Linked DNA regions of Rattus norvegicus. The protein of the gene in region 2 interacts with the protein of the main gene of each other region in a pairwise test. Links are inferred from orthologs where the notes say so. Each region holds a gene or a part of one and is shown on either strand. Other genes may lie near its edges. The genes, in order: Pdzd11 and Plekha5.

Region 1 (16,032 bases), on a different chromosome or scaffold from region 2:
CAACTCCACCTTGGGATGCTTGCAGTGATGTTGGTGTGGAGCTCCCCCTGATCTTGATCCATCCAAAGCCACCTCACGGTGAGAGAGCAGGTGAGGCTCCCAGGAACTATTATCCTGTGGGTTTGGGGCTAAGCAGTTCTCAAAAAAGAGTGGCTTCAGGGCTGGAGAGATGGCTCAGAGGTTAAGAGCACTGACTGCTCTTCCAGAGATCCTGAGTTCAAATCCCAGCAACCACATGGTGGCTCACAGCCATCTGTAATGCGATCTGATGCCCTCTTCTGGTTTCTGAAGACAGCTACAGTGTACTTCTATAGAATAAACAAATCTTTAAAAAAAAAAAGAGTGGCTTCAGATAGACTGACAATAGGCAGGTTGGATGTCTAGCTTTTCAAGGAACATTTGGGGGAGGGGAAGGACTGGGGGGAGGGGGAAGAAGGAAAATATCATGGATCTGCACAGACGCTTCTGAGCTTCAGTTCCATTTCCCATCCCCTCCATGCTTGCCACAGTGGCTACCAGGTAGGTCAGCATGAGGCTTGGAAATGCCACCCCTCCCCCTTGCCTATTGCTGTTTTAGAATGGAATTTTTAAAGCTTCCTCAAAGTGTTGCTTTCATGACTGTGCACCAGAACCATGGTTTAGCTTCATGTCAGTTTGGTGCTTTCCACAGCCCTCCGTCCTGTCAGCCTCCCTGCCCTTCACTTGCTGCTCTTCTGGGAAATTTTATTCCGCCCCATCCTTTCCATTTTTCTTTCTCTCTTTTCTTCCCTCCGAAATCCCATTCTGTTGTTAAGTTGTTCTTGTGATCCCTCACTCCCTGGAAAACTAGGTTGGTTGTGCTTTCTCTGTGACTTGGGGTCCTCCTTTTCCACATCATCCTCATCTTTTTTTAATCCTTTCCCTGTACCCCATGCTCCACTGTTTCCCTTCTAATGCACCTTGACACCATTGTCTAGACAGATTCAGAAGGGAAACAAGCCCTCCCCATGGGGCAAGGAGGGGAAGGCTGAGAAGCAGGGAAGTGATTACCTCTCTAGAATCAAGAATGTGGAGGAAGCCCAGAGAGGGGTTTGATAACTCTCCTTTCCCCTTTGCTGCTCCTGCAAGCTCGGAGGACATAGTTGTCGAAGAGTTTATGCAGCAGAACAGCCAGACACAAAGCTAGAAAGCTCCAACAGCAGACACAGTTAAGAGCCGATAGTCATCTCTGATAATTCTGTGTGGAAGCCCCTGTTGTAACACTCTAATAAAAGGTTTTGTCTGGACATGGCTGGTGTGATCTCTGTGCCTTTTGTTTTCCTCTGGGAGAACACGGAACTCCAGATAATGATCTCTGCTGCAGGCGCCTGTACCTCTCCCACCCTTACCTACAAGCTTGATTAGGTATCTTGTGTTAGGTAATTTGCCCCTATGTGGTCCCTCTGAGTCACTTGCCTTTTCTCTCTGGCCTCAGCTACCCTAGTCCCTGCCTGACGACTTACTCTTGTAATTACTTTTGGTCTAGCAGTACCTGGTTCTTACACTGTAAAGAACCCCACAGAGGAAGCCAAAAGGGTGTGGCCACTCCTAGACTTGGCTATGATGACAACTGTCAACGGTTGCTACTGGAGGAGAACATGGTGATGTCAGGTGGTACAGGTTCAAGTACAGAAAATCATTGTTACAGTATTTCTGCCTGCTCGGTTCAAGGAATGTTTCTGGTCCTTTTAAGGTGAGGCCAGGAGCCCTGGAATGAGGCCAGAGGCCATGTCCTAGAGACTAATAAGAAACACAAATACCGACCTCTGTGCAAAGTCAGGTTCCTATTCCTGGTCTAAGATGGGCTTTAAGATAAGGAGCTATGAATAGCACGGAATGAGAGGAGGAGGCTACCTCTAGACTGAGTCTTTTGTTGACCAGCTAGGGTGTGTGCTGGCAGGGGACAGGATTCTGAGAGCCTCTGGCCTTTCAAAGAGACAAGTACATACTAGATGTATGAGGAGACAGAGGTGATGTCATCAATGTGGTGTGTACCATGACCAACACATGGTAAGGTTTGTTGGTCTACACACTTAAAGTTTAATCCTCACATGAAGGTGCTACTGTGCTGTCTACTCGAGGCATCAGAACCCAGTGTTGGAAACGTCATGGGTTCAAGGCTTCCAGTGTTCCAGGCCCTAGGCCAGCATGATTATATGTAAGGATTTAACCTCATCCACTAACTACAGGTTTTCACTATCCGGTTCTTTTCCTTTTCCTTTGCCTAGGCAAGTCTCTGCAGAAAAGGATGAAGAATAATCTGGAGACCTCAATGTGATGGTTGTTGGGACGAGTGCCCAAACCAGTTGCAGTGTGAGAAACAGAACACCCATTCCTCTTTATGACATAGCCTTTGCAAGGTCTCTAGTTTCCCACTACTACTTACCTTTAGATAACCGTAGTTCACCCTATGATGGCGAGGTGGCAAAGTTCGTCCACCACCCCCTATCATGCAGCCTGAAAGCACAAAATCATCTGAGCCTCTGAACCTTTAAAATTGCTTTTAATTCACTGTCCATATACTAAAACAGCTATTCTAGTATGGTTTCTGCCCTTCCTTAAATGGCTTCACCTCCACTGTAGAAATAAAGGGCACATCTTTTTTCTTAGCTTTTCTGGGGTAGGGAGTGTGAAAGCAGAGAAGCAAGTTTCACTCACTCTTAAAAGCCAGGCCCACTTTTCTGCTTAAGTGGTAATGGAAAACAGAAATAACTTTAGCCAAAAGTGCCTCCTTTGTTTAAGTGATGCCCATGGGGTCAGAATTCCTCATTTTTACTAGAAGTGGTTCCTAGCTGACATTTGATTCATCACCTTAACTGTGCTATGATCCTTACCATAAACTTTAGGTGCTGAAAACTGACTTGGAAACTTCTAGAATTCAGGCATTAAAACCCATTTCCCTGTCCATGGCTTAGATCATCTCTGCCTAATTTGGCAGACATTGTATTTGGCTTTCCATCGCAGCTATTTTCTTCCACCCCTAAGCTTCTGGTGGTTTGTTTTTGAGACAGTGGTTCTCAACCTGTGGGTCATAAACCCTGTGGGATTAGAAAGGCCCTTTCATAGGGGTTATCTAAACCATCAAAATACACAGATATTTACATTACAATTCATAACAATAATAAACTGCTATGAAGTAGTAACAAAAAATTTCATGGTTGAGGATCACCACATCAAGAACCATAGTAAACAGCTGCAACATTAGGAGGGTTGAGAACCACTTCTCTATGTATTCCTTGCTGTCCTGGAACTTGCTATGTAGACAAGTTTGGCCTGGAACTCATATTCTCCTGCCTCTGCCTCTCAAGTGCTGGAATCAAAGGTGTGCACCACTCTGCCTAGCCTGGTTTTAACACTTTCTTCTAACGACTAGACTTAAGAATAAAACAGCTTCCAGAAGCGCTGTCAGCTTCTTTTACCACATCTAAGTTACTGGGTCATGCAGAGTACCTATTTTCATTGATAACTAAAATCTATTTATACAGGACGGAGCTCTAAAACAGCTAGGATAATGTCAAAGGCTAGTCTAATTTTTGCTCCAGTCTTACTAAAATTTGTTTATGTGCAATGCTAAAAACATACCTGGTATAAAAGAAAGCATCTTCAACAAATGGTGCTGGGAAAACTGGATGTCCATGCAGAAGAACGAAATTAGACTCATCTCTCTCACCTCATAGAAAAACTAACTCCAAATGGATCAAAGACCTCAACATCAAACAGTACACTTCATGATACAGGTATAGGAAAAGACTTCCTGAATAAGACTTGATTTACCTAAGAGTCAAGGCCAACAATTGTCAAGTGGGACGTCATAAAACTAAAAAGCTTCTGTACAGCTAGAAAACCAATTAACCGTGTGAATAAGATACCCATAAATGGAGAAAATCATTGCCAACTATACACCTGACAGAGAATTAATATCCAGAATATACAAAGAACTGAAAAAAAAAACCCAGAACAATCAATCAAACAAAAATGACACATTCCAAAACTGGGCCTGGGACCTGAACAAGGGAGTTCCGAAAAGAATATACATACATACATACATACATACATATGAAATAACTCAAAAATGTTCATTGTCCCTAAAAATTAGGGATATGCAAATGCAAATCAAAACAGTGTTGACCTTTCACCTTACCCCAGTCAGAATGGCAAAGACCAACACTCAGCAAATGCTGGAGGGGACACAAGGAAAAGAGAACTCTCATTCCCTGTTGGTGGGATTGCAAGCTGATTCAACCACTCTGGAAATTACCATGGAGAATTCTCAAGAGGCTAAAAGTAAACCAACCATGGGACCCAGCTCATTGGCATCTGCTCAAAGGACTGGACATCCTGCTCTGAAGGTACTTGCTCAACCACGACCATTGCTTTGTTGCAATAGCTAGAATATGGAGATAATTTAAACACCCTCAACGGAGGAATGATAGTGTAACACATACACTATGTAACGTTTGTCAGCTCTAAAGAAAAATAACATCAAAAACTTTGCAGGTAAATGGATGGAACTAGAAAAGATATTGAATGAGTTACCCTAGAAATATAGATATACATTTAATAACAATCAGTGAGAGGAATTAATCAAAGAATATATAAGGGGTTGGGGATTTAGCTCAGTGGTTGAGCACTTGCCTAGCAAGCGCAAGGTCCTGGGTTCAGTCCCCAGCTCCGGAAAAAAAAAAGAATATAAAAAAGGAAATCTGAAAGAGGTCAAGGAGGGGTGTACAGGAGGGTTTAGGAGAAAAGGGGGGAAGAAACGGTATATTATGCTCCCCAAAAATAAATTTGAAGAATGATATATGTACCCCCTTATCTCTGTGCACTACATGCACACCTGGTGAGTGCATAGGGCAAAAGGTATGGGATTCCTTGGAACTGCAGTTACTGGTCTTGAGCCATTATGTAGATATTGGGAATCGAACCTGGGTTGTCTGGAAGAGCCACTAGTGCTTTTAACTGCTGAAGACTCTCTCAGCCCCATGGCTGAGATCACACCATACTGATCACACTTCTTACTTAAGTTGCTTTTTGTGTTTAGTAATTACTGTGTGTACATGTATGTGAACACATGTGCCATGACATACATGTGGATATGTGTGTGTGTGTGAGGATAACTTGCAGAAGTCTGTTCTCCTATCAGAGGGCTCTGAGGCCATCAGGCCTGGCAGTAAATATCTTAACCTGCTGAGCCATGTCATTGGCCCATATTGTTTTAAAATCTATTAACTGGGAGTTGTTGGATCTCCTTTCTCAGTTTCCTGGACTGCAAGCCACCTGAATCATTAAATATTTAGCCTGAAATCCAACTCAGCCTATCACTCTACTGGGCCTTGAACCTCATCCTAGAGCAGTGGTTCTCAATCTTCCTAATGCTGCAATTCCCTTAATACAGTTCCTCATGTTGTGTTGACCCTGAACAATAAAATTACTGTTGTTGCTACTTTCTAACTGTAATTTTGCTGTTATGAATCGTAAACATCTCATATGCAGATGATCTTAAGTGACCCTTTTGAAAAAGTTATTAGGCCTCCCCAAAGGGTCTCAAACCACAGGTTGATAATTGCTTTCCTAGAGCAAGATCTTTATGAGAAACTTCTATGGGTCTCTTCCTAGCTCATCGTTAGGAATCTCCAAGGTCTTATGTGGGTAACCACAGCTTGGTGTATTCTTGACTACAATGGCTACGTGTTATCTAGATGAAAGATAGTTCTCCTTTCTATCCACTGGCTCTATTTCCACCCCTGCACTTTTTCTGCAATGTTCTCTGGACCTCAGATGGGGTGCAAAACTTTTAAATGCTGCTAATAGAATGACTGTTGAATTAATAAATTATGGTAAGGGAAAATCTTAACTGGAGGCTACAGAAATGTCAACATCAGTAAAATCCTTATTGTACAAATATGAGGACATGAGTTTGAATCCCATAGTGCACTTAAAATGCCCGATGCCTGTCATGGTGACACACACCTTTAATCCCAGCAGCAGCAGGTGGGTCTCTCCAACTTCAAGGCCAGCCTGGTCTACACAGCAAGTTCCAGGGAGAGCCAGAGCTATAAAATATTCTATTTCAAAAAAAAATTTAAAAAAGGAATTATGGATGTAGTAGCACACATCTTCTGTAGTCCACACACTGGGGAGGAAGAGAGAAGAAGGAACTCTGGGCCTTGCCAGACAGTCTGGCCAAATAAAAGATTCAGGTTCAGTAAGTTGATATACTTTCCAAAAATAAGAGAAAAAGTGACTGAAGAAAGGTAGCCAATGTCAACTTTGGACCTTCATAAAGTAAATCCTGCTACCCGTGCTGGGTGCAGCGAGTGATAGATACCTGTATCCTCTGAACTTCAGAATCTGAAGCAGGAAGATCACAAGTCCAAGACCTGCTTGAATTATGTACCAAGAACCTACCTCAGGAAAAAAAGTTAATAAAAACTTGATAACCATGGAAATAGTCTTGACTTTGTCAGTGGACACAGCTATTAGTTTTGTGAAATATCCAAGTTTTTCTTTCTCTGATGGCCACTGGGGGTCAGCAGAGCAAATAAGAGGACAGAATTCCCAGGAAGACTTAAGCTAATTTTATACCTCCGGCTCTGCTCAGAAGGTACAGTGCCAACAATGTAATAGAACTGAGTCTCTAGCAATGCCTTTAGTACAGCTGGGGTAGGATTCATGGGAAGAGCCAGTTTCCACATTTCATCCATTTGAAAATTTATCTTGCTTATTTAAAAAGGTAGATCCCAGTCTGGGTGGGGGTGGGAGTGGTGACTCACACCTTTGATCCCAGTACTCAGGAGGCAGAGGCAAGCGATCTCTGTGAATTCAAGGCCAGCCTGGTCTACAGAGTGAGTTCCAAAACAGTCAAGGTTACACAGAGAAACACTGTCTCAAAAACAAAACAGGTAAGTAAACAAATAAGGTAGAGTCCTAGGTTCTCTCTCAAACCAAAAGAATCACTCTCCAGAAGGAATTAAGAGATTTAGTTCAGCTCCCAGGATTGTGTTAGCTTGCCACACCTTACAGGCAAAAGACAACAGACAACTTTGGGAATCTGTTCTCTCCTTTCAGCATGGGGATCCTGGAGAGCAAACTCAGATTGTCAGGCTTGGAAGAAGGCATCCTTTAAGCCCAGAGAGTCATCTTGGTGGCTCTCCCTAGGATCTTTTAAGTCAAATGTTGGGCTTTCATTGTAGCAGCGCCTTCTTCAGAGGAAAAAAAAAACCTTTCCATTATGACTGGGTATTTTAATGTCAGTCAATGGAGGGAACATTACATACCATATACATGCAGGTATGTAATGTTCAGTCACTAAGGATCTAGGACGACAGAAAGTTATTCACAGGTAGGGTCAGAAAAAGGAAGAAGTTGGCAGTTACCACTAATGAAACTACAAATGGGAAGTTAGGAACCACTTTCCTACTGCTGCTTGTAAAAAATAATCTATGCCACTTCCTTGGCTTAATTCCAGGTCAGAGAATGTGGGAAAGAATACATTAACACCATCCTGCTGCAGCACAAAATCTAACACTCCTGGGTAAGGGGCAGCTTTCCCTAAGGCTCTTGACTCTAGGGATCCCTTGTGGATTCTATGACTAGTGTTTTTTAAGCTCCCAAGTTGTCTGGCCAGATAGAGTTGTAAAGTGAATATGACATTGCTGTCCTTCCCACAGGTTGGTTGTTGTATTTGTTTTCCTCAATGGCATTTTATATTCAAGCAGCATCACTCAAGCCACGTTTATTCAGTATTATGTTTTTTACTATGGGTGGGGGCGGGGATGAGAAGGAAGTGTCTCCTTGGAGTCTCTGAAGTGTATGGGACTCCAAGGTACAAAGACTCGATGGCATGGCCAGGCAAATCAGATGGAAGGTCCCCATGATTCTCTTTTCTACTGATTTCTACAAATAAAACAATAAGCTGTATACGTGACCAATCTAAGGTACCTGATAAATGCCAGTTGTTTTCTAGTTGGCTTTCCTCCACAGGCTACAGACATCTAGATATCACTATCTTTCTCCCTTTCCAGAATGAAACTCACCTAGCAAACTAGGGAACTCCTAGCACAGTACAGTTAATACGTAATACAGCTGGTAAGCTGTCTCCCCATCCTCCCCATCCATAAACCAGGAGGGTGTGGAGAATAGAATTTCCTGACTTCTCCAACTTCTCAGAGGTCTACCCAGCTTGTCCTGGCAGATTCCACAGGTAGGGCTGTGGGCTGCAAGTCTCTAGTGCACAGTCCGTTCTTTTTGGCGATGATAATCTGGGGTAAGAAAGAACACAGCACATTATTTTCAGGATGAGCTCCCAACTTCCCATTCCCAATTTCTTGGGCTTGCCATCATCCGTCCGTATTTAAAAGAGTTCTCTTACCTGCAGCCCTGCCATATAAGGAAGAAAAAGAAAAAGATAAAAAGAAAGTGCCTTACTGTAGGGAAAGAAGCGCACACGCATGCTGATTTCTCGGGCTGTCTTCAGGATTTCCACAGCCTGGAAGACACACAGCTGCTTGTACAAATGAAGAGCTATTACCCAGGACAGAGATATGACACAGTAATGGAATGTGCCACCTCAAACATCTAGGTCACTGGTAACTGCTCTCTTCTGGTACATTTCCCTTGAACAGATGCTTTCTTCCAGATTAGGCTAATCTGGTCCAACCTGTCCTACCTGAGACGGCTTCCTGGATGACTATAGCCCATGCACTGTGCTTACTTTGCTGTGCTCGATATCTTGGAAGTCCACATCATTCACAGCTAGAACTTGGTCCCCTTCTTGAAGTCCTGCTCGATGTGCATCCGAGTCTGGAATCACCTGTTTGTGAAGGGGTAACACATGTACTTGAGATGGCATGAATTAGGAAGCTGCAGGGGGAATTCAGTGCTGTTCAAATTGTTAATTTTGTGATGCCACAGGGAGATTAGTTTTTTTTTAAATTAGGTTTAGAATCTTTTTTTTTCAAACACAGGGTTTTTCTTTTGTGGCCTTGGAATTCACTCTGTAGATCAGACTGGCCTTGAACTCATAGAGACTGGCCTACCTCTGCCTCCTATGTGCTGGGACTAAAGTCATATGCCACCATTGTCCAGATTGACTTTTCAAATTACTACCTACTCCTAATCTTCCTGCTTCTGCCTCTAGAGTTCTTGGAGTACCAACACATGCCCCACACCACACTGGGCCCAAGTTCAAGTCTGAGAAGAAAAGGCTAAATCCCCATTATGTGTATTCTATGACTCCACCGGGTCATCCATTTTTTTAATCTGTTGGGCCACCAGTGCATTTTAATATAACAAAGTCAATAGCCATACAGCCTGTCATACACACACATTCACACAGACCTTGGAGATGAAGATGCCTAGCTGGGAGGCCTTTCCTCCTCGGATGTTAAACCCCAACTGAAAGACAAGAACACAGGATGCAGACTCAGCATGGACACAAGAACGAGGACATCTGTGTACTCAGAAGAAAAGGAGATGCTATGGAAGTGTCATCTCCACACTTCTAGTCACCTACTTCCCAAACCACATCCATGCCCCAACCATAGCCATCTTCTGGCATGGCCAAAATGTAACTGGAATAAGAGCCTCTATAAGTTTACCTGAGCACCAGGAGGCTTCTTCAATGTGACAATTCGGGGCAGAAACTGGGTCAACTCATTGTTGTAGTCTGGGTGGTATACTCTCTGCAAGATACAGCAATCTTAACCATCTTATTCCCAGTCTCACGTGGTACATCTACCTCCTTTTAGAGTATCAATAAATCAGATACATGTCAGGAAGTGGGAAATCCCTATCCCTTTTTTATTGACAGGATAGAAGCTAAGGTTTCAGAATTCAGCAGAGTGAAGGGCTCTAGCAGGGTGGTTCTACAAGAAGTTGCCAGTGGGTCACTGTTGCTCAAAATTCACCTAAGATTCAGTCTCCGTTGAGCTTCATAACCCTGCTACTTATCTTTCATAGACCTCATGCTTGGGGATTGGTATTTCTTCTTCAGGAATGCAGATGGCTCCCACCTCATGAGGAGGAATCCATGCTGGAGGGTTTTCATAGGCAGGCAGGAAAACCACTGGGTAGTCATCATAAGGAATCCGGTTGTCCATTTCAGGCAAAGCCCTGAAAAGGAAGAATCAAATGAAACAAAAATGATTTTAAAAAGGACCAAGTGCTCTACGTTTCAGAAAGCATCCCCTCCAGGGGCCATTTGTTTATGGGACTAGCCCACAAGTAGGTGTCAAGATTGAATGAGGGCATGGGGTGGGAAAAGAGGCAACAAAACAAAATAATGAAAACAAAACAAAAAACCGAAAAAAAAAAAACAAAAAAAAATCTAATTTTTTAAGCACTCTAATGGCATGTTTGCATTTCTTACAATTCAACAAAAAGAGGCTTTCAACCTAGAGAATAGGAAATGAGAATCACATCTATAAAGATCTACTTTAAAACAGAAAGGGAGTGCCAATAACTATCCCACAGGGATTGGAGCCAGGCACATTGCCAGTCTCTAGAGGTGATTAGTTAACGTGGCGTCCACAGACGAGTTCTGTCAACAAGGGATACCTTCCAGATCCAGGTCCTGCAACCCGCCCGTACCCCGCACTCGCGACCACTTAATTCAGCGCCACCTTACCGGTAAGTAGGCCTCCCTTAGCGACAGCCAATTCCGCCTTGGAACCGGAAGCGGATGCTTGCTACCACCCAGCACGGGCGGAGCTTGCTTTGGGCGAGCCAGCTCTCTAGCCTCCTCGGGCGTCACGTTGTGCGTGCTCACGTCCGTGTACTTTTCACAGGCTGTACGCGCTCCGATTGGCTGGCGCCTCTGGGATCAATTTGAAACTTGGCGGTTAAAGCTCCGGTTGGAACAGGGCGCCAGGGAAGATCGGGGAAGGGACGTTTAGTTTGGTGAGTTACCGGGCACCACGTTAGCTCAAATTCCGTGCTTCGTAGCACTTCAGGGCTTGGGGTCACGGTCGCTGTCTCGCTGGAGTTTCTTTATTTCAGACACCATTTTCGCCTTGCAGTATTGGGACTGACAAACCATTAGGCGGTGGCCAAGAGTGACAGGACACAGTGATCCTGCTGGGAGGGAGAGTGCATCAGCGAGTTCCGAGTCTCCTACGGCCTGAGAAGGGCCTTTCTACTCCTGCCAACCTCGGAAGGTTCCTGGGAGAGCTGGCTTCACTTGGCCAGGACACCTGCTGAGCTGGTACCATGAAAGAAGAGGTGAAGGGAATTCCTGTAAGAGTGGCACTGCGTTGTCGCCCCCTTGTCTCTAAAGAGATTAATGAGGGCTGCCAGACGTGCCTTTCTTTTGTGCCCGGAGAGCCTCAGGTGAGTAGTCAAGTCTAGAGTGGCTCTCTCCACAGCTGAGGCTGAAAGGAGGGAGGGGCGTGGTCAGGCATTGTTTTTTTAATCCTTCCCCTATCCCTTCTCTCTTGCCTTTTGCAGGTGGTGGTTGGTACTGATAAATCATTTACCTACGATTTTGTGTTTGACCCCTCTACTGAACAGGAAGAGGTCTTTAATACAGCAGTAGCTCCACTCATAAAAGGCGTGTTTAAAGGTGAGGCTGTTCACTGGGCAGGTTTTTTGAGCATGTATTATGGGTGGGTCATAAAGGCACTACAAATAGAGGAATGGATGAAATAGCTTTTAAAAACAGCCTACAGACTAGTACCATTTGTGAAAGTCTTTCTACTCTTGAAGCTAGTCTCAGACTGTCCTGTTTATCTTTGACCTAGGCGTATGTTGCTGTTTTGGGGGACCTCACAGAGCACCTTTTATCTCAGTGCTTGGGAGGCAAAGACATCTCTGTGAGTTTGAGGCCCGCCTGATCTACATAGCGGGTGGCAAAACATCCAGGGGTACCTAGTGAGATCCTGTCTCACAAACAAACAGAAAACAAAGCAAAAATAAAGAATATGTGGTTTTTGTTTGGTGCTGATTGTGTACTAACCTGCGGAAGTGCCAAGAATATTCAGATATGTAACATAGTCTCTGGGCCCTTGAGTTCAAAGTCCACAGGGTCAGAAAACAGGTAGATGACTGTGGGAACTGGGATCCGGGAGGGTGGTATTGAAGCCTCTGTCACCATCCACCAGTGCTTTACCCAGGTGCCACGGCACCCATAGATGACTACATAAGTGAGTTTGGATACATAGAAAAAGTTTAAATTTTTACAGCTATTTAAAAAAATTGGGGGTGATTCTTTTCTTTCTTTTTTTTTTCCTCTTTATTTCCCCAGACAGTATTGCATATAGCTCAGGTTGGTCTTAAACTCACAATGTAGCCAAAAATGGATGTGATGGCCCATGTGTTTAATCCTATTACCTAGGAGGCAAGCAGAAAGGAATCTCTGTAAGTTCAAGAGCAGCCTGGTCTGGTCTACACATCTAGGGTTCCAGGCCAGCCAGGGCTACATAGTGAGACTCTGTTAACTGTGTAGTGTGTATGGAGTATGAATTGTACCTATAGAAGCTATGGAAGTGTTACTGTTTTCCTACAACATAGTATGACGATTGAAGGATGCCACTAAACTCCATTAGGGGAGTTTGGGTTAATTTCCAAGCATATGGAACTTTTGAGATAGGTATTGAAAGATGAGTTGAATTTTTTTAGATAGATTTTTTTCCTCCCTAAAGTCATTGAGTATTATGGCCAGCTAGTAATCTTTACTGCAGAAGCTAAGCTTTTAAGGGCAGGAATCTAAAGCCAGCAGGACCTGAGAGATATTTACTTGTCATATTAGTAGTTTACAGTGGTTATTAATTTTTTTTATTGAGAATTTCATACATACATATAAGTGGGTTTTTTTTTTTATCAAATCTCTTATTCCCTCCTGTCCACTTCTTCGGCCTATATATTCTTTTTTTCTTAAACCCAGAGTCAATTCAGTGTTACCTGTATGTCAGAACATCTTATAGTGCATGGGTAACTTCTTGGTCACATCTCTGAAGAAAACTGATTGTCCTTCCTTTGGTAGGCATCCATTGCTAGTAGTTGGTCAGCTAGGTGTGGGACTTCATGAGTGTAACCCTGTGTTTGTTTCTGCTGGGATTTTTGGCAGCCTCAATCTTGTACAGAGCTCAGTAGTTATTCACTTAAAACTTAGAACCATAACAAATTAGTGAATGTGTTGCATATAATCTAGTTGAACTTTTCACCCAAATTCTTTCTAGTAATTAAATGAACTTTTGGTGTCTTGTTTGTGCCAGGGTCTCATTTAGTCCAGACTGATCTCAAATTAGACATGTAACAGAAGCTGACCCTTAACTCCTGATCCTTCTGTGTTTACCCTTAACATGTTCTGGTTATACAAATGCATCACCACGACCATCTCCAGTGCCTGTTTAAATTTATTCTTTGACAAAGAAGTCCCAGAATCATAGAGTGACCTACTTGACAGTTGCTTTCTTTTAGACAGCTCAGTTTTTTCTTCTGCAGTTACTATTGTGTGTATGTATCACCATTTGTGGGGGAGGCTCAGAGGACAACTTGCAGGAATTGGTCCTTTCCTACCACATGTATCCCCCTGGCCTCCACAGGTACCTGCATGCATACACTGAACCTAAAATCCCACCCAGAACACTTAAGCCAGGCAGTGGGGGTGCACACCTTTAATCCCAGCGCTCGGGAGGTAGAGCGGCAGTTGGATTTCTGAGTTCAAGGTCATCCTGGTCTATGGATCCAGTTCTAGGACAGCCAGGGCTACACAGAAAATCTCTTGTCTTGAAAAAAAACCAAAAAAACCAAGACAACTTAAAAATGATGTCATGTCTCAGGGGATATTGAATATCTTTGTGTATGTGTAAAGTGTGTGCACAGGTTTGTACAGATATCCTTGCTCGTGCATGTCTAGTAGAGGTCAGAGGTCAACATTAAGTGTTTCCCTCTATTGCTCTCTATCTTGTGTTTTGAGACAAGGAGCTCTTGCTGAACTATTTCAGCTAGACTGACAGTTCAAAGACCTCAGGATGCCCCTGTGTCTTCCCTCTCAGTACTGGGGCTGCACAGATCCATGCTGTCATATCCAGTTTTTATATGGGCACTAGAGATCTGAACTCATGTTCTCGTGCTTGCACAGCAAGCAGTTAACCCACTCGGACATCTCCCCAGACCCAACCTTTATCTAGTTATGTCTTTTCTATTTATCTGTTTTGTGTGACTCGTGTGTGCCGGTGTATCACATTGTACATGTGCTGGTCAGCGCATAACTTGTAGGCATCAGTTCTAACACTCTATGGGTTCCAAGGGCCAGAGACAGGATGCTGGGTTTGGCCTTAAGTGCTGTCACCCACCAGGCCATCTTATCAGAGCCTTTCGTAAGACAAGGCTCATGTCTTAAGAGCTTTCCCGGAAAGCTGGCTTTCCTGGAACTCACTAAATAACCAAAGATGACCTTGAACTTCCGGTTTCCCTGTGACCTCCCCAGTGTTAGGATTCCAGATGTACACCATCCTCCTTTGGTTTGATTTGGTTTGGTTTGATTTATGCTGTATTGGAAAGCAAACTCATGGCTTTGTACATGCTAAACAAGTACTCTGCCAAATGAGGTATAGTTCCAGACTAAATACCTTGTTGTAAAACTTGAAAACACTATAGTTATAGAAATGTTGCAAAAACAGCATAAGGGAGCCATTTATTTCTGGAATCATTGGTAATACGTTATTGACCTTATGACCCCTGAATACTTTAGCATATATTTCCAATAAGAGTCATCATAACCTGTCCTAGCCATCAAAATCACAGAAGCTGCAGTGTCGCATTACTACCTTCTAATCCTCAGCCCTATTCAAATGTTGCCAGTTCTTTCAGTAATGCCCTTTATAGCAAAGGATTTAGTTCAAAAATCGTGTTATGATTAGCTGTGCCCTTTTTTAGTCCCCAAGTCTAAAATAAAATAGTTCTTGAACCTTTGTTTTTTTTTTTTTAAAGCTTTCGTTGTTTTTGATACTTGAAGATTACAAGGCACTTATGTCTTTCCGTTTGCTTTTATCTAATGTTATGATAAAATTTGAGCTTTTTAAGCAGAAACACCACAGACATGCTTTTGTATTCTCATTGATTCCTGTCAGGCAGTATATGATTTCGATTTGTCCTATTACTGTAATTGTTAATATATCAATAATCTGTCTAAGGTATAAACCGACCAAATCTTTCCTGTAAAGTTAATTTTTTCTTTTTGCATAATTGAAAAAGCATTATATAGTTCTAATTCTCTTCTACTTTTTTCTTTCGCATGATTTTGTCTAATTCTCATCTAGTTTGCTATTTCTCCCTCCACTCTCTTCATTCCATTCTATTAATAATTAAATTGCTCCCTGCTTCCTTTCCCCCTCCTACTCCTACCACGCCCTGCCCCTTCCCCCTTAAGTCCATGGCCTCTTTTTAATTCCTGTTACATATAACACTCACACACTCAACTGCACGGTATATGATAGAACCTGTGGGGTCTACTCAGTGTTGCTCATGTGTACATGATTTCAGGGCTGACTACTTGGTATGGATAGCAATTAAGGGGGCTGTCCCTGGAGAAGACAGATGCTTCCTCACTCAGCAGTTGTTAGTTGCCTGTAGTTCTCTGTGGAAGGGTCCCTTCCGTGTTAGCATGTCACTTGCTGGTGTTCTTCTTCTGGTCTTGTTTAGGCCGCCATACTGTTGAGGTACTGTGGGTGAAACCTTGTCATTTCTAGGCGACACAGACAGCGCAGATTTCCTGGTCCTGTAGCTCTCACAGTCTTTCTGCTCCTTGTCTGCCATGTTCCCTGGCTCTTAGGTGCAGGAGTTGTGTTGTCCATTAGAGGTGAGCATCCCTTTAGCAGGTGTTCTCTGCATTTTGACCAGTTATGATTTTCTGTAATGCCCCATCTGTTGCAAAGAGAAGCTTCTTTGAAGCGTGAGTGGTACTCTTCTCTATGGGTATAAGGATAAGTATTTAGAGTGCAGTTAGGAAGTATACTGGTTTAGTAAAATAGTATAGTAGGTTCTATTCTCTGATCTATCCCTGAGTAGTCGGCT
Region 2 (15,469 bases):
GAATGTAATATTTTTCGTCACACATTACTATGAAGTGACTAGTCAAGAAAATACCCTATAATGTTTTGTGATTAACAATAAAAGTACAGAAATATTATTTCCTATAAAGATAGTTTTAGTTTTCATAGTTGTAAACTGTCACAAATAGGTAATTTTCATAGTTTTTCTATGTGTCTGTTTCATTTTATATAAACTGAAGGGCTTAGAAATATTAGTCACACTAGGAAAGAAAAATTTTAACACACTTTATATGACAGATTTTAAAGTTAAACACATTTTACAATCTGTGGGACAGAATTCAGATTTCTCCATTTCCTTGGCCTGAGTTGGCAGTAGTAGGGTACAGTGGTGTCTATAACACTTGGGAGGCTGAGGTAGGATCTACAGAAATGGATTTGTCTTAAGGAGAAAAACAGCTCTTCTCTCTTAATAACACTACTTTAGAACTATGACCACTACATTACACTACACTACAGTGATACACAGCTATTAGTTTTATCTTACAATTATTTTTATTTTGGGGGGTAAATTTTGAGACAGGGTCTTTAGTAGTCCAAGCTAGCCTCAAAGGCATTGTACACTGCAGTTTCCTCAGAAGTTAGGATCACAAACATGTGACACCATACCCTGGGCTATCTTAACTGTCTTTCCTGTTAGAAAGACATGGTGTCAGGCTGGAGAGATGGCTCAGTGGTTAGAGCACTGAGTGCTCTTTCAGAGGTCCTGAGTTCAAATCCCAGCAACCACATGGTGGCTCACAACCATCTGTAATGGGATCTGATGCCCTCTTCTGGTGTGTCTGAAGATAGCTATAGTGTACTTATATATAGTAAATAAGAAAATCTTAAAAAAAAAAAAAAAAGCACTGACTGCTCTTCCAGAGGTCCTGAGTTCAATTCCCAGCAAACACATGGTGGCTCACAACCATCTGTATTGGGATCCAATGCCCTCTTCTGGTGTGTCTGAAGACAGCTACAGTGTACTCATATAATAAATACACAAGTAAGTAAATTATTAAAAAACTAAAAAGACATGATGTTACTGTGTAGCCTGACTGTAGACTAAGGCTTAGGTTGGGGTTGACCAAAAGATACTGTGATTGGCTGTCCTGTGAGATAAAAGCAGAAAGATGACGATGTTCCTACTCCAACTGTACAAACAGCAAGCTCTCAGCAGCAGTGAGGAGGCTATACCGTTCTTAGCTCCACCATCTTCTTCGTCTTCCTCAAGGTCACATAGGAAGCTATCGTTGAGGACTCAGGTGTAGGTGACTTCGTTCTCAGAGGAACTCCAACTGGAAAGTGGGAACCTGAAAGTTAAAGCAGTGTTAAGTCCCACAAAGCACTTGTGATCTGATGTGGTGCCCTTGTGAACACTTGTGACAGGGTGTGGCACCTTGCTGAGCACTTGTGACACGGCGTGGTGCCCTACCGAGCATTACACTAGAGGCCTTGGCTGATTATGATTTCTAGTGAGTTGGGATTGGACCTAAGCCATGAACAGTGCTTTCCTGCAACCTGACATACAGGCTCCCAGGCACAGCAATGTGGTGGGATTGGAGAGGAGGCTTGGCAGTGTCTCCTGATGTAAGAGGCTTGGGGTCCCACTGTCAGTACCCATGTTAGGGAGCTCACAACCATCGGAACCTCTAGCTCTAAGAGGTCCCACTCCCTCTCCTGACCTCTGAGAGTACCCACACAAGGCATAGACTTAAAAAAAAAACACGCATAAAATCTCAAAAGGAATCGTTCATTATATTTTTAACTATGTATGTGTATGTAGGTTCTGGGTATTAAACCTAGGTCCTCTGGAAGAAAAGCAAGTGCTCCTAATCACTGGGCCATTACACCATTCCTTACGGTAACTCTATTGCCCACACTGTTCTGCCTCTTTTAATTTTAATTTTTTTAGAAACATATTTTTTAGCTGGGAAGTTGGGGTGCATGCCTTTAATCCCAAAACTTGGAGGCAGAGGCAGGTAGAACTCTTGAGTTCAAGGCCAGCGTATTCTTCAGAGCAAGTTCCAGAACAGCCAAGGCTGTGCACAGAGAAGCCCTGTCTCAGAAAACAAAACAAAACACATATATTTTTGATGTGTGTGTGTGTGTGTGTGTGTGTGTGTGTGTGGGTGTGGGTGTGTGTGTGCGCGCGCGCGCACCTGGTGCCATCAGAAGTTAGAAGAGATTTTGAATCTCCTGAAACTAGAGTTATAGATTGTTGAGACTGGAACCCAGGTCGTCCACAAGTTCTTTTAACCACTGAGCCAACTCTGCCCTCTTTTATTTATTTTGAGACAAAATCTTACTACACAGCCCTAGTAGGTCACAAACTCACAGCAATTCTCCTGTAGGTTGGTGTCAACATGGTTCAAAGTGTTTCTCTCTCTCCCTCTCCCTCTTGTGTGAGACAAAGTCTCATTATATAACTCTGGCTGCCTTGGAGTTCTGGAGTTTACCATGGAGATCAGGCTGGCCATGATGTCACAGAAGCTCACTGACTTCTGCCTCCTAAGTGCTAGGATAAACATATGCATCACCACATACAGCTCACAACATGTAGCTGGGAAACAAAAAGATCTCAAAGATTTCAAATAAGAGATTATAGATTTATGTACATACTGGTTGAAAGTATATACTAAAATATCTGAAAACAAAGACAGAAAACAGGTAAGATACTATAAATGCTGACCTCTAACAACCGGAGCTTCTGCCTCAGAAGCTGGCTCTGATTTTTCTTCTCCATTAGATTCATCAACTTCTGCCACTGTGGTCAACTCTGGCTCGCTCTTGTAGAGTCTATAATCTGGACCCTTGAATGGAAGACACACGATTGCAACAACAAATGCTGCCGTCACTGTACCCTGTCCCTCAGCTGGGCCCGAGGCTCAGCACTAGAAGCCTTGTCTGGCACCAGAAAGGTCCTTGGCTCAACTGAAAATAAGTCTGCCTTTAAAGGTGCAAACCGAAAGCCCCAGCTGGCTCCCTCTCACATGACGCACTCACACCACGTGGTACTGAGTACGAAGAATAATTCCAAGGTTGTTTCTTCTTTAGGAAGAGTTTTAATTAGTAAAACTTACTATTTTAAAATGAACAATATTCCTAGGTCAAAGTATGCTTTCCTGTGTGTAGGTATCCAAGGGCCTTGTATGCACTCTAAAACTTTATTTAATTTATGAATATTAGTGTTTGGCTTGCTCCCCACAGGTGTGCCTGGTGCCCGCAGAGGCTATACAAGGATGTCGGATTCCTGTCATAACAGTTGTACATTGCGAAGAACAATAAACTGAATCTGGGGTCCTGAGCCACCTCTCTAGATCCTCGTATAGCCCAGGCTTGCCTTGACCTCTTGACCCTTTTGACCTCCGGGGGCTATTCTCCCCCTCACCCTGCTTGAGGCAACTCAGTCTCGGTTGGTCAGGAATCATGGCTCTACCAAATCTGCTTCTCTGCTGGGATAACAGATGGGGCCACCATACCTGGCCCAAAGTCACATTTTTATCATGGTTAAATGAAGGTCTAAGAATAGTCACAGAACCCAATAACCTTCGTCTAGACATAAGTCTGAGTGAGCCAGGCTCATCCCAAACTACACTGCTGTCAGAGAATACAACATCCTCGCCATTAGCCAAGACCCATTCTCGTTCTCTCTTGGAAACAGGGACTTGCTTTATAGCTCAGGCTGGCCTTGACCTCACGACACACCTGCCCAACCCCAGGTCCCAAATCCTTCTTGCTTATGGTAACTGTCTTCTTTCCCATTGAAGCCTCATTTCCAGTCACAGGAAGCCCTAAACTGCCTGGTGCCCATCCATTTTGCTAATTCCCTATTTTCTGATCTAAACACTCTGTCTAACACGATGAAATGGCAAATTTAAAATATGGCTTGATCAAAATGTGCAAAGTAACCACTTTATGAAAAATGAAATATTAAAATTATGAGAACATTAAAAAATGAGAATGATAAAATGTAAATTGGAAAAACAAAGGGTAATGTTATATGCAAACAAAAAAAGCACTAGCTAAAAAATGGAGTTATAGCAAAAATAAGCTAGAGTATGAAATAAGTTAACTTAAAAAGTGAACAGATGTACATGATCATTGTGTGGCACGGCAGCCACTTACACAGTGAGATCCATTTCTTGGATATCCTTGAACTTGGTGACTCTTCTTTTCTTCAGGCAGATGCACGGGGCCCCTGCTATAACAGAGCAAGGAGCTGCTATCACTGGGCAGAGGGGGGATTATGGGAGGCTGCTCTGTAAAGTCATAAGACCGAGGAAGTGGAGGCCGAGGTGGGACTACTTCCTCTTCCTAAAGATTGTAGAAGTCACCTTATTTAGATGAGCAGATTGGATTAAGCATTTCTAAACTGTTTTCATTGCTACATTAACTTAGTTACTTTAGTATGATTAAAGGGACACTGCCAAGCCAAGAGTCTTATGTTGAAAAACCAAAACGATTTAGCATGATCGCCAATAATGGGTTTCAAAGGCCGTGTGCGCTTCCCCCTACACGTATGGGGCAGCTTTCCCTGCTCAGACAAGGTACTATGTGAACATACTGTACTGCACTGCACAACCAGAGGAAAAGAGCTGGCTAAATAAAAAAACAAAAAAAAACAAAAACCATATTATATATTTTTGACGCCTTTGAGAAGAAAAAGAAAATAATTTCCTTTTTGGCTTTTAAACAAAATTCAAGGGCACAGATTTTCTTCAGTTAGGTTGACAGTGTCTCTTTGTTATAATTTCTCTACGGCATGCATGACCAAGCTAACTTCATCTAGCAACCGTCCCTACAAACTTTATTAAACACAAGACGCCATGATTAATATTTAAATTACAAGGAAAAAGTACAATAATGTTAAAGTTTTAACAGACAAAAAGTAGTCACTAATTTGACTTTAAGGAAGAAAAATCATGTTAGAAGTCATTAAGACACCAAATTACTAAATCATCAACATTTTAAGATTAAAATAACCTAAATATATTTATATATTTAGAAAACACCCTTGTTTCTCCTGACACAGTCTTGCTATGCAGCCCAGGCAGACTTAACCTCCTCCTGCCTCAGCTTCCCAAGCTCTGGGGTTGGGGGGGGGGGCTCCACCCCAGGCAGGCTCAAACTACTGCTTTCAGGACTGGAGAAGGTGTAACTACTTTTAACCTCAGTACTAATACTTCAAGTGAGCTAGAAAACCAAGCTGACTTACCTCGCTTTTGTACTTAACTGCTGGGAAAGGCTTTGGTCCTGCCAGACCTATGGGAAATGAGAAAACATGGCTACTGATGTTAAGAACACTTTCTTTTCTTCTTCAAGACTGAGTTTCTCTGTGTAACTGCCCTCCCTGGCTGTCCTGGAACTTGCTCTAGACTAGGCTGGCCTGGAACTCACAGAGATTGTCCTGCCTCTGACTCCTGAGTGCTTGGATTAAAGGTGTGTGCCCCCACTGACCAGCAAGAACAACTTTCTAAACTCACAGAATGAATGATTTCAGTTAGCTTACTTTATTTAAAAAGTTTTAAATTACACGTATTTATTTTGTGGGCATGTGTATGCACATGTACCAAGGTGCACATGTGGAAGGCAGAGGACGACTTCCGGAAGCGGGTTCTATGCTTCCACCTTGAGGCTCAGGGATGCACTGAGCTGCCTCATTGGGTCGCCCTGGCTCTGCTTATTTTGACTGAAGCCTTCAGTGTACTCCTGTATTTGCTCAGCTGCTCTTTTTAGGATTATGGTGTGGAGTTTGCTCTTGCCTGACACTAACTGAGGCTGCTCTTGGTACAAGGCCATCCCCTGGCCTCAGCCTCCCTTGTGCTAGGACTATGGTGTTAGCTACCACACCTAGTGAAGCCGCCTTCTTCTTCTTCTTCTTCTTCTTCTTCTTCTTCTTCTTCTTCTTCTTCTTCTTCTTCTTCTTCTTCTTCTTCTTCTTCTTCTTCTTCTTCTTCTTCTTCTTCTTCTTCTTCTTCTTCTTCTTTCTTCTTCTTTCTTCTTCTTTCTTCTTCTTTCTTCTTCTTTCTTTTTTTGAGACGAGGTCTCTGTGTAGTCCTAGCTGCCTGGAACTTGCTCTGTACACCAGCTGGCCTCGAATTCAGGGATCTGCCTGTCTCTGCCTCCAGAGTGCTGGGATTAAAGGTGTGCACCACCACCACCATCTGGCCTAAATATTAGATTTAAAAAATGGTACTTGGGGCTGGAAAGATGGCTCTCGGGTTAAGAGCGCCAGCTGGGTACTCTAGCTGGAGGCTCACAACTGCCTTTAACAGCTCCAGGGGATCTGTTGCCCTCTTCTGGCCTCCACATGCGCAAGTTACACAGATGACCATGGAGGCAGAACAGCAATACACATAAAGTAAGTTTAAAAAAATGTCTTCAACACAAGAGACAAAAGGATATGGAACAGGTTTCCTCAGGCATTACTGGTGTACACAGTCGTCTTTTAGGAGACCAATCTGGCTGTAGTCTTTAGAATGGAGCACTTACTAACTCTTTATATTGTGGGCCTATGGAATGAGAGGCCTGTTACAGAGGGACTCAGACAGAAACAAACATAACTCCAGACACAGCACATGTTCACCAATGTGGAAAAGGAAAGTCTCAGGCAACTACTATTACATCTGGGACTGGAAAAGTCAACACGATCAGTCACCATGTTAACGGTAGCAGAAACTGCATTCATTGGTCAGAAACAAGAAAAGAGAAGTTGATGTTGACATATGTTGATACATTGTGTACATGTATGAAACTTCCAAAATATAAGTAAAAGATATTCCTAAAAGGGTGTGGGGGGGAAGCAGGCTGGTGAGATGGCTTAGAGGTTAGGAGTGCTCACTGGCTGCTCTTCCAGAGGGCCTGAGTTCAATTGCTAACAACCACATGGTGGCTCACAGCCATCTGTAAGGGATCTGATGCCCCCTTCTGGCCTGCAGATGTACAGGAGCAGAGCACTCTGACATTAAGTAAGTAAAATTCAAAGAAGTGTGTATAGGGGGACATGGAGGGTGAGGAAAAGAGGTGCAGGATCACTTCAGTTTTCCCCACACTGAGGAGATTCAGAAGGGAAGAGTCGCTGAAGCTAACGTACCTTCAGTAATCACATACACAGTTCAGATTTTGTGTGGCTGTGGCTGCCAGAATCACTGCTTTTAGTTTATTAACGTATGCACCCATTCAATGGCACAGTGACTGTTTTCTGAAGATAAATTCTATTCAGATGACAAATTTAATGATGTCTTTCCATCTAGACACAGCCATGCAAAGCTGACCCACCTGTTTCTGAAGAGCCTCTTTGCTGTTTGTGTTTGCTCAACCCCTCCATGACATCTTGAATTCTCCAAAGTTCTTTTTGAATCTGTGCCCGTTGAATTCCTGCCGACTCACTCTATCAGTAAAGATGGACAGATCACTGTGGTGCTTGAGTGAGAATTGTTTTCCATGGACTCATGCATTTGAACCCTGGGTTTCAGCTGGGGGCCTTGATGAAGGGAGTACACAATGACTAGGTGGGAGCTTTGATGGTTTACAGCTGGGCGCCTGCTCTCCCTCTTTCCCTCCGGAGTGTGGGCCAGCCTCCAGACATTCCTGCCATGCCTTTCTTGCCACAATGGGTCTGAGAGCCAGAAGAAACCCTTTCTCCACTAAGTTGCTTTTTGTTAGGGTTTTCTATGACAGCAACAGGGAAATAATTCAATGGCAAGTTATGAAAAAGTCAGCCTTATAAGTTCTACTAGTTATATAATAGAAAGTTAGAGCCACAGAGGCTCAAGTCCCTGGAATATTTAGGATTATGCATATGAGGCCACGATGTTGCAAAGGTGAGAGGGAAAGCAGAAGAGAAACCACTGGATCTCTCTGATATAAATGTGCTATTGCACACACCTGCCGTGTGCTTCGCCACTCTAGGAAGGGACGGGAGAGAAACCCTAATATTCCTAAGTAAAAACAAGCCCCCGAGAAGAGCTGAAAAGCCACAGAAGGTTCTTGATGGGCTCCCTCTTCCACAGATCCATGTTTCTGGTTTCACATACACAGTCAACACATACACAGATGGGCTGCAGGTTGGCGGCAGGCAGTGCGTTTGTCCAACATGCACAAGGCTCTCAGCACAACAGCAGCACTGGATTTAGGGAGCAGCAGCTACTGTGTCATCGTTGGCCACTTAAAGTGGCTGGCTGTTGTTGTTGCAGGTGTGGACTTGGGCAGTCCAGAGAGACTGGTGAGACTTATTTCTAAATGCCCAGGACCACCTCCTCTCAATCTTTGTGTACAGGGCACCCTATCATTTGGAGTTTCGTGATTCACTGAAAGGCATGGGATATGTCCTGAGGGTAAGGGTTCCTGCATTACTTCCTAAAGTCTAAAACATAAACAAAACACTAACAACCAAAGAAACACTTGACTGACAGGAGGAAGTAGGTATGTTTCCAATACAAACATATAATCATTACTCTATTCTGGTACATTCGTTTTCTTATTTAAATATTATGTAACATGCCTTTAGGTTAAAATCATACAGTTTCAAGACTCTGTTAGATCTTTATGAGCCTTTACAGAGAAATACATTTTTCTTGGGGCTGGAATGATAGCTTAGCTGCTCTTCCAGAGAGCACACATTGAGCTCACAACCACCTGTAACACTAACGTTCTCAAGCCTCTGAGGACCCACAGAAGTGACACACAGTGTCCTACTGTTCTATTGCTGTGAGGAAACACCAGATGGCCAAGGTCAAACACACTCTCTCTCTCTATATATATATATGTATATTTTTCTCTCCCCCGCCCAAAGACAGGGTTTTTCTGTGTAACCGTGGCTGACCCCAAATCCAAAACTCCGCATGCCTCTGCCTTCTGAGTGCTGGTATTAAAGGCAAAAACCACCGCTGCCCAGCTATTTTTTGGAAGGCAAACTCTCATAAAAAGAAAGTATGTGACTGGGGGCTTGCTTACAGTTGCAGATGGTTAACCCCTGATCATCATGGCTGGAAGCAAACGGGCACAGTGCTGAAGTAGTACCTGACAGCCACAGGCAGAGAGACTCTGAGCCTGCTGTGGGGTTTGAAAGCCCAAAGCCCACCCACAGTAACATGCCTCCTCCAACATGGAGGAGTAGGCGTGGCTTTGTTGGGAAGTGTGTTCCTGTTGTATGTGGGCTCTGGGCGCTGATGGCTCTCAGTGCTCAAGCTCTGCCCAGTGAGGAAGAGAGTCCCCTCCTGGCTGCCTGCAGATCAAGAACTGTCAGCATCTTCTCCAGCATTGAGTTGGCCTGCACTCTGCCTTGTTTCCTGCTATGATAATGGACTGAACCTCTGAAATGTAAGCCCCAGTTAAACCCCCAATTAAATGTTGTCCTTTCTAAGAGTTGTCTTGGTCATGGTCTCTTCACAGCAGTGAAACTCTAACTAAGAGAGGGCCTCACTAAGCAGCCCTGGCAGGCCTGGACCTCTGCTTGAAGTCAGGCTGTTTTCAAGCTCTGGCGCTTCCTGCTGAATTAATTCTCCTTGGTGTCTCCTTGCAGCAGCAATAGAGCAGTGAGACAATGTGTGCCACATATGTGGGAACCTCAGAGGCTTGAGGACGGTAATCAATCCCCTGGACTTAGTGTCATAAGTAGTTGTGCGCTATTCAATGTGGGGTCTCTGGAAGGGCAGCAAGTGCTCTTAAGTGCTCCAGCCCCAAGAAAAAATTATTAAAAATAAATATTATTTGGTAAATAGGTCTGGGGGGCACTTACAACTTTAGTATGCAAGAGCTACAAGTGGGATACTTACTAGGGATACTTACTAGAGGAAAACAAACCACTGCATACAATGAACAACTGCATTTCTGATTCCCGCGTGAAGAGTCTAAACCACATTTATAGGAAGTGCTGAGAGCTGAGCTGAGTACTGAGAGCACAGTGCTGAGAGCTAAGTACTGAGAGCACAGTGCTGAGAGCTGAGCTAAGTACTGAGAGAGCAGAGTGCTGAGAGGTGAGCTAAGTACTCAGAGTGCAGAGTGCTAAGTACTGAGAGAGCACAGTGCTGAGAGCTGAGCTAAGTACTCAGAGTGCTGAGAGGTGAGCTAAGTACTCAGAGAGGAGAGTGCTGAGAGGTGAGCTAAGTACTCAGAGTGCAGAGTGCTGAGAGGTGAGCTAAGTACTCAGAGTGCAGAGTGCTGAGAGTTGAGCTAGGTAGTGAGAGCACAGTACTGAGAGTGCAGAGTGCTGAGAGGTGAGCTAAGTACTGAGAGCACAGTACTGAGAGTGCAGAGTGCTGAGGGAGCTGCACTAAACACAAAGAAGCATGAGTGTTTCAGGGGTCATCAGGGTCCAGTAAGATGCAAAGGTTTTATGGAGGAGATGGGGAACGTTGTGGGAGAGTGAGAGTCCTGTCACTGAAGACACTCGACTGTGTATCTTTAGAGGCCAACAGCATGAACCTGTGAAGGCTACAGCGGTAGACTATAAGCAGAGTGCCTTTCCTACCTGCACTTCTCCAAGGCGATCAAGCTGATCTTGCATCTGGTTCCTGGTAACAGTCACATCATATTCTAACTTGTCATATTCTCTCCAGGCTCGTTCCAGCTCCTAAAATCGAGAATGTTCATCATTTTAAAGGGGACCCAAACTTTAACAGTATTATCAGTGTGCTTAAGACCTCCCAAGATTTCAGAAAACGATATGGTTTATTCTGGGCAAAATAGAAATATCTTTGGCAGTGCTGGACACTGAAGCCAAAAACCGTGGTAAGCGAGTGTTTTACTAAATTACATCTTCAGCACCAAAACAGGAACTGCTGTCGTCTACTCTCCTGCGCTGTTTCCTCTTTCTCAAGACTCAGTTCCTTCAGAGAGAGCATGTGGTGCTTTTTCAGGGTCAGCATTACTTTATTTAATGTCATGACCTCCTCACCTCCTCCAGGGCCAGCTATCTTTTTGTGCAAATGTCAGGATTTAATTTTTCTTTATGTCTGCCAAAAAAAAAATATATCCAAGGTATACATGTTGTTTATCAAATTTTGTGCTCTCAGGCTTGCTCCATTTCTTCGCTCCTGTGGCTGGTGGCCACATGGCTGTGTTTGGAGTCTCTTTGGGAGTCTGACGTCCCCACCTTGGTGTACGTCCTCAGCAGTGGGGGAGAAAGGTCCCACATTCTCCCCAGCATCTGCTGTCCTTTGTTTCCTTGTAGCCCATTCCCTAACCACTTAGCCATCTCTCCAGTCCATGTTCTTTAACACAATGTTTTAGATTTATTTATCTTCTGTGCATGACTGCTTGCTTGCTTGCAGGTGTGTGTGTGTGCACTGCCTGAGATGACCTCCACGTGGCTGCTGGGAACCAAACCAAACCCAAGTCCTCTGCAAGAGAAGCAGTGCTTTTAAAAGACAGGGTTCTCTGTGTAACTCTGGCTGTCCTGAGCTCTACGTGTATCAGGCTGGCCTTGAACTCACTGAGGCGCACCTGCTGGGATTACAGGTGTGGCCACTCTGCCTCGCAGGAAATGCTCTCAGCAGTGGAGCCACCTCTCCAGTTCCTGTGTTTTCTTGATCATCTCTCTTCTGACTCAAGGGAGAATCTCAAAGTAGTTATAATTTTTATCTTTAAGATGGCTAGGAATGTTGAAAATGCCTTTATTGGACATTTGCATTTCTTCTGTCCAGTTCTTCTGCCCACTGTTTGACCAGGTCCTTTCTTGTTTTGCTATTTGGTCTTTTTCTAATTCATTGTTTCTCTAAATCAAATAGAAAAAAGTCTCTTGTGAATTCAGACTGTAAACTCCAGTTGAATTTTAGAGCATGGTGGCACACATTAGTAATCCTTACATTTGGGAGGTGGAGGCAGGAGGATGAGGTCATCTTCACCTGTAAAGGGAGTTGGAGGCCACCTAGTGTAAGTGAGACCTTGTTTGAAATTGAAAATAATGAGCTGGAGAGATGGCTCAGTGGTTAAGAGCACTGGCTGTTCTTCCAGAGATCCAGAGTTCAAATCCCAGCAACCACATGGTGGCTCACAACCATCTGTAATGGGATCTGATGCCCTCTTCTGGTGTGCATGAAGACAGCTACAGTGTACTTATATATAATAAATAAATCTTAAAAAAAATAAAAATAACAAAAGGGTTTCTTTAAGTAAGTTTTATAATGAATTTATATCTATTTAAAAATTTTAAATCTATTTATTTTATTTAATTTTTTGGGGGCTGGAGAGATAGCTCATCCAGTAAAGAGCAACGGTTTTGTTCTTTCCAGAGGTCCTGAGTCCAATTTCCAGCAACAACATGGTGGCTCAGAGATCCGATACCCTCCTCTGGCATGCAGGTTTACATGCAGATAGAGCATTTATATACATAAAATAAATCTTAAAAAACAATTTATTTTTAGAAAGTTTTTTTTTTTTAAATTATCCGTTCATATGTGTGGTGCTTGCAGAGACCAGAAAAGGTGGTTACATCCCTTGGAGCTGCAGTCCCAGGCAGTTTTGAGCTGCCTGATGTGTGTACTAAACTAAACTGAAGTCCTCAGGAAGAGCAGTAAATGCTCTTAACCACTGGTCCTGCTCTCTAGCATTTGAGCTCTCTCTTGCTTCCCCCCCCCCCCACTCCCGCTCCCTCTCTCTGAGACAGGGTCTCCCCATGTAACACTGAAAACACAATCTGGGCATAGTAACACAGGACTGTGTGTGATCCCTGCTACTCAGAATTAGAAGCAAGGGCTATCTGGTACTCCACAAGACCTGGTTTAAAAACAGTTGTAGGAATATGGAGCTGTAGGGTGCTTGCTAGGTATATGCAAGGACTTGGGTCAATCCCAGTAGAAAAGGGAAGAAATAAAATGATGACGTTTGTCTGACTGTATGAATATTAGCTTCAATACTAACTTTAGCAGACTTTTATGTAAATATAGAAATCAGTTTCCTTTAATAAAATTTTCTCTAGCAATCTTTTATTCAGAAAGCAGAGGCAGGCGGAACTCTCTGAGTTCAAGACCAGTCTGGTCTACAGAGAGAGTTCCAGGACAGCCAGGGCTACACAGAGAGACCCGTCTCAAAACAAAACAATCTATGTATAGATTCACATTTTATTTATACACTTATTTATTTATTTGTATGTGTGCAATGTGGAGGTCAGAGGAGGTTTTTAAGGAGTCATTTATTTTCGTCATGTAGGTTTTGGGGTTCAAACCCAGATCACCGGGAAGCAAGTACCTTTGAAGGCTATGCCATCTTGCTCTGCTTTTTGCTGACCTGTTCATCTTGTAATTTATCAAAGGAACAGAACACAGAGACACAGGACCCCTGAAGGCTCTGGGAGGGGAAATGAGGCTAGAACCTCAAGGCACAGCAGGGGCCAGGCAAAGGTGGTGCTTAATTCTCTTGTGCAAGTGAAGTATTCAAAGCCACAGGGCACAATGGCCTAAACCTTCAACCCCTTCAATCTCTGCGTAGGAGGCAGAGGCAGGTGTGCTTAGGCAATTCCAAGTGGCCAAGCCTTTTAAGAAAGTTCTCACGAAGTTACGCATGCTGACCCTGAACTCATTCCACTATCACGCAGTCTAGAACTTAGTGATTATCCTGCCTCATCTCCTAGTACTGTGCCACCTGGATGGCTTCTAGGAAAGTGAGCACTCACAGCGGTGGCTCGGGAGAGTTCCCGACACGTGCTCAGCAGCCCGTTCTGCAGGTCGTCCCTCTGCAGCACCACCGTCTGAATGGCGGCTGGGTTATCTGCATTCATCTCTATCTCTTGGCTGGCTGACAGCAAGGCTTGCTCAAGCGTGTACTGTGGTAATAAAGAGGATACACTTAATGTTCTGCATCAGTGACTTAGGTCACGTAACTGGCTGCAGTGTCCTCACAAGCAGCACAGCACGGGCAGCAACATCAGCCGTGCAGAGTAAAGGTAATCGCCCTACTTTCTCCTTGTGCAGCTGCTGCAGCTTCTCCTCCAGTGCACGGACCACCTTATCCTGTTCACACAATCGGCTTAATTTGGCCTAGAAGAGAAGATGGGTTCTGTTAGCCATTTAAAGTCTTTCCTGTCACCAGGGGAAGGGAGCCACTTAGAATAGCCATGGGCTGTCTAGCTGAACTTTAAAAAACTTAATTCTTCTAATTGAAAAAGTATTTTATGTGCTATATTCTGATCACATTTTCCCCTTTAGGACATGTTTTATTTCAATCAGAACCAGTAACAGTAAGGGCTTTTGGGCAGGGCGTGAGGCATGCGCCTTTCATCTCTGGAGGTAGAGGCAGGTAGACCTTGAATTACAGCCCAGTCAGGTCTGTGTAGTGAGATTCCCAATTCAAAAAGGAAAAATAAATAAAAACAAATTAAAAAATGAAGTAAGAGCCATCATATACTTTGACATTTTTCCTTTTTTGGATCTGGGGATAAAACCCAGAGTCTCAGGAATGCTAAGCAAATGCCCTACCTCCAAACTATAGCCCCAGGGTAAAGCGTTGTTCACCAGAGACAAGGCTGCCTCCGAAGCTTAGGCTGGCCTGGGACGTCCTCAGATCCTATGCCTTAGCTTTGCTGGGATTGCAGGAATGTGCCAACATGATTCCTGGCTTTATTTTATTTTTTTTAATTCTTAGTAATAGTTGTGCATGCCTTTAATTCTAGTACTTGAGAGCCAGAGACAGGAGTTCAAAGCCAGCCTGGTCTACAAGTGAGTTCTGGGGGCAGGAATACTTACATCGATATCTACTTCCTCAGGTCTGTATTTGTATAATGTGCCTCTACACTCATCTTGTGAGAGCTATAAGAACAAATGCCATAAAGCAATTTCAGAAACTTATTAAGTAATATATCCAGTCTACAGTGAATACTTTAAATTTCTGTCAAAATGGCGGTATGCCAAGCATGATTTTAATAATTTTTATACTTCTAGAAATTTAACTCAAGCACAAACCGTCACAAAAGTAAATAAACATTTAGCAGTAATACATTACACAAGATACATGAGAATGATGCCAAGGCAAGCTTCTCAAATACTAAACTGCCAAACAAAATTAACACAGCACCTTCCATTTTCCCCTGTAAAGACAAACATTATTTGGATGGAAAATGGACAAACACAACCATAGCAGCTGCACTGAGTCAAATGTTTGCATCAGCATATCCAGGGGAAGCGTCTGTCACAGTGCACACACGCTTGCAGTGTGTGCACTCAAGCCAACACATCTTAGCACAACCGCATTAACGGGACCTAGGACACAGCATGTACATATATATGTAATATAAACACACATACACAATAGAGACTTATCTTGTTCTTCTGTCTTAAGAACTAAAAGATAATGAGGAAAAGGGCAGGTTTAATTGCAACGAGGAAATCATTTGAAACCTCATAAAACCGAAAGCCTCTGCTTTAAGTTATGAATAAAAAAAATTGCAAAAGAGGTTTGTATTGTCGACTGACCGCCTGTGTATGATACTGGGAACACTGATTATTATTCTGGAGTGCTGGGGACTGAACCCAAAG

Evidence for each region.
Region 1: the proteins of Plekha5 (region 2) and Pdzd11 interact in binary tests that used the Homo sapiens proteins (3 or more experiments, as listed by UniProt). The two-hybrid records come from large-scale screens. The link is inferred for Rattus norvegicus from reciprocal best matches to the Homo sapiens genes PLEKHA5 and PDZD11.

The regions. Positions count from the first base shown.
Region 1 is NC_086039.1:69,751,036-69,767,067, forward strand, and holds Pdzd11 (PDZ domain-containing protein 11), read right to left. Parts: upstream 10,763-16,032; 5' UTR 10,576-10,762; intron 10,132-10,575; 5' UTR 10,119-10,131; coding exon 10,032-10,118; intron 9,702-10,031; coding exon 9,618-9,701; intron 9,415-9,617; coding exon 9,358-9,414; intron 8,831-9,357; coding exon 8,732-8,830; intron 8,522-8,731; coding exon of another isoform or gene 8,507-8,521; coding exon 8,446-8,506; coding exon of another isoform or gene 8,372-8,445; exon of another isoform or gene 8,280-8,371; coding exon 8,245-8,279; 3' UTR 7,730-8,244; downstream 1-7,729. Other genes in the region: Arr3 (arrestin-C), read left to right, coding at 26-90, 510-519, 1,108-1,165; chromosome-associated kinesin KIF4A, read left to right, coding at 11,227-11,346, 11,464-11,578. UniProt on the Homo sapiens protein: Mediates docking of ADAM10 to zonula adherens by interacting with PLEKHA7 which is required for PLEKHA7 to interact with the ADAM10-binding protein TSPAN33.
Region 2 is NC_086022.1:175,207,609-175,223,077, reverse strand, and holds part of Plekha5 (pleckstrin homology domain-containing family A member 5), read right to left. Parts: intron 15,275-15,469; coding exon 15,239-15,274; intron 14,744-15,238; coding exon 14,681-14,743; intron 13,976-14,680; coding exon 13,895-13,975; intron 13,762-13,894; coding exon 13,612-13,761; intron 10,573-13,611; coding exon 10,471-10,572; intron 7,419-10,470; exon of another isoform or gene 7,390-7,418; coding exon 7,278-7,389; exon of another isoform or gene 7,253-7,277; intron 5,262-7,252; coding exon 5,215-5,261; intron 4,314-5,214; coding exon 4,125-4,313; intron 3,038-4,124; exon of another isoform or gene 2,810-3,037; coding exon 2,689-2,809; intron 2,667-2,688; exon of another isoform or gene 2,341-2,666; intron 1,310-2,340; coding exon 1,194-1,309; intron 1-1,193.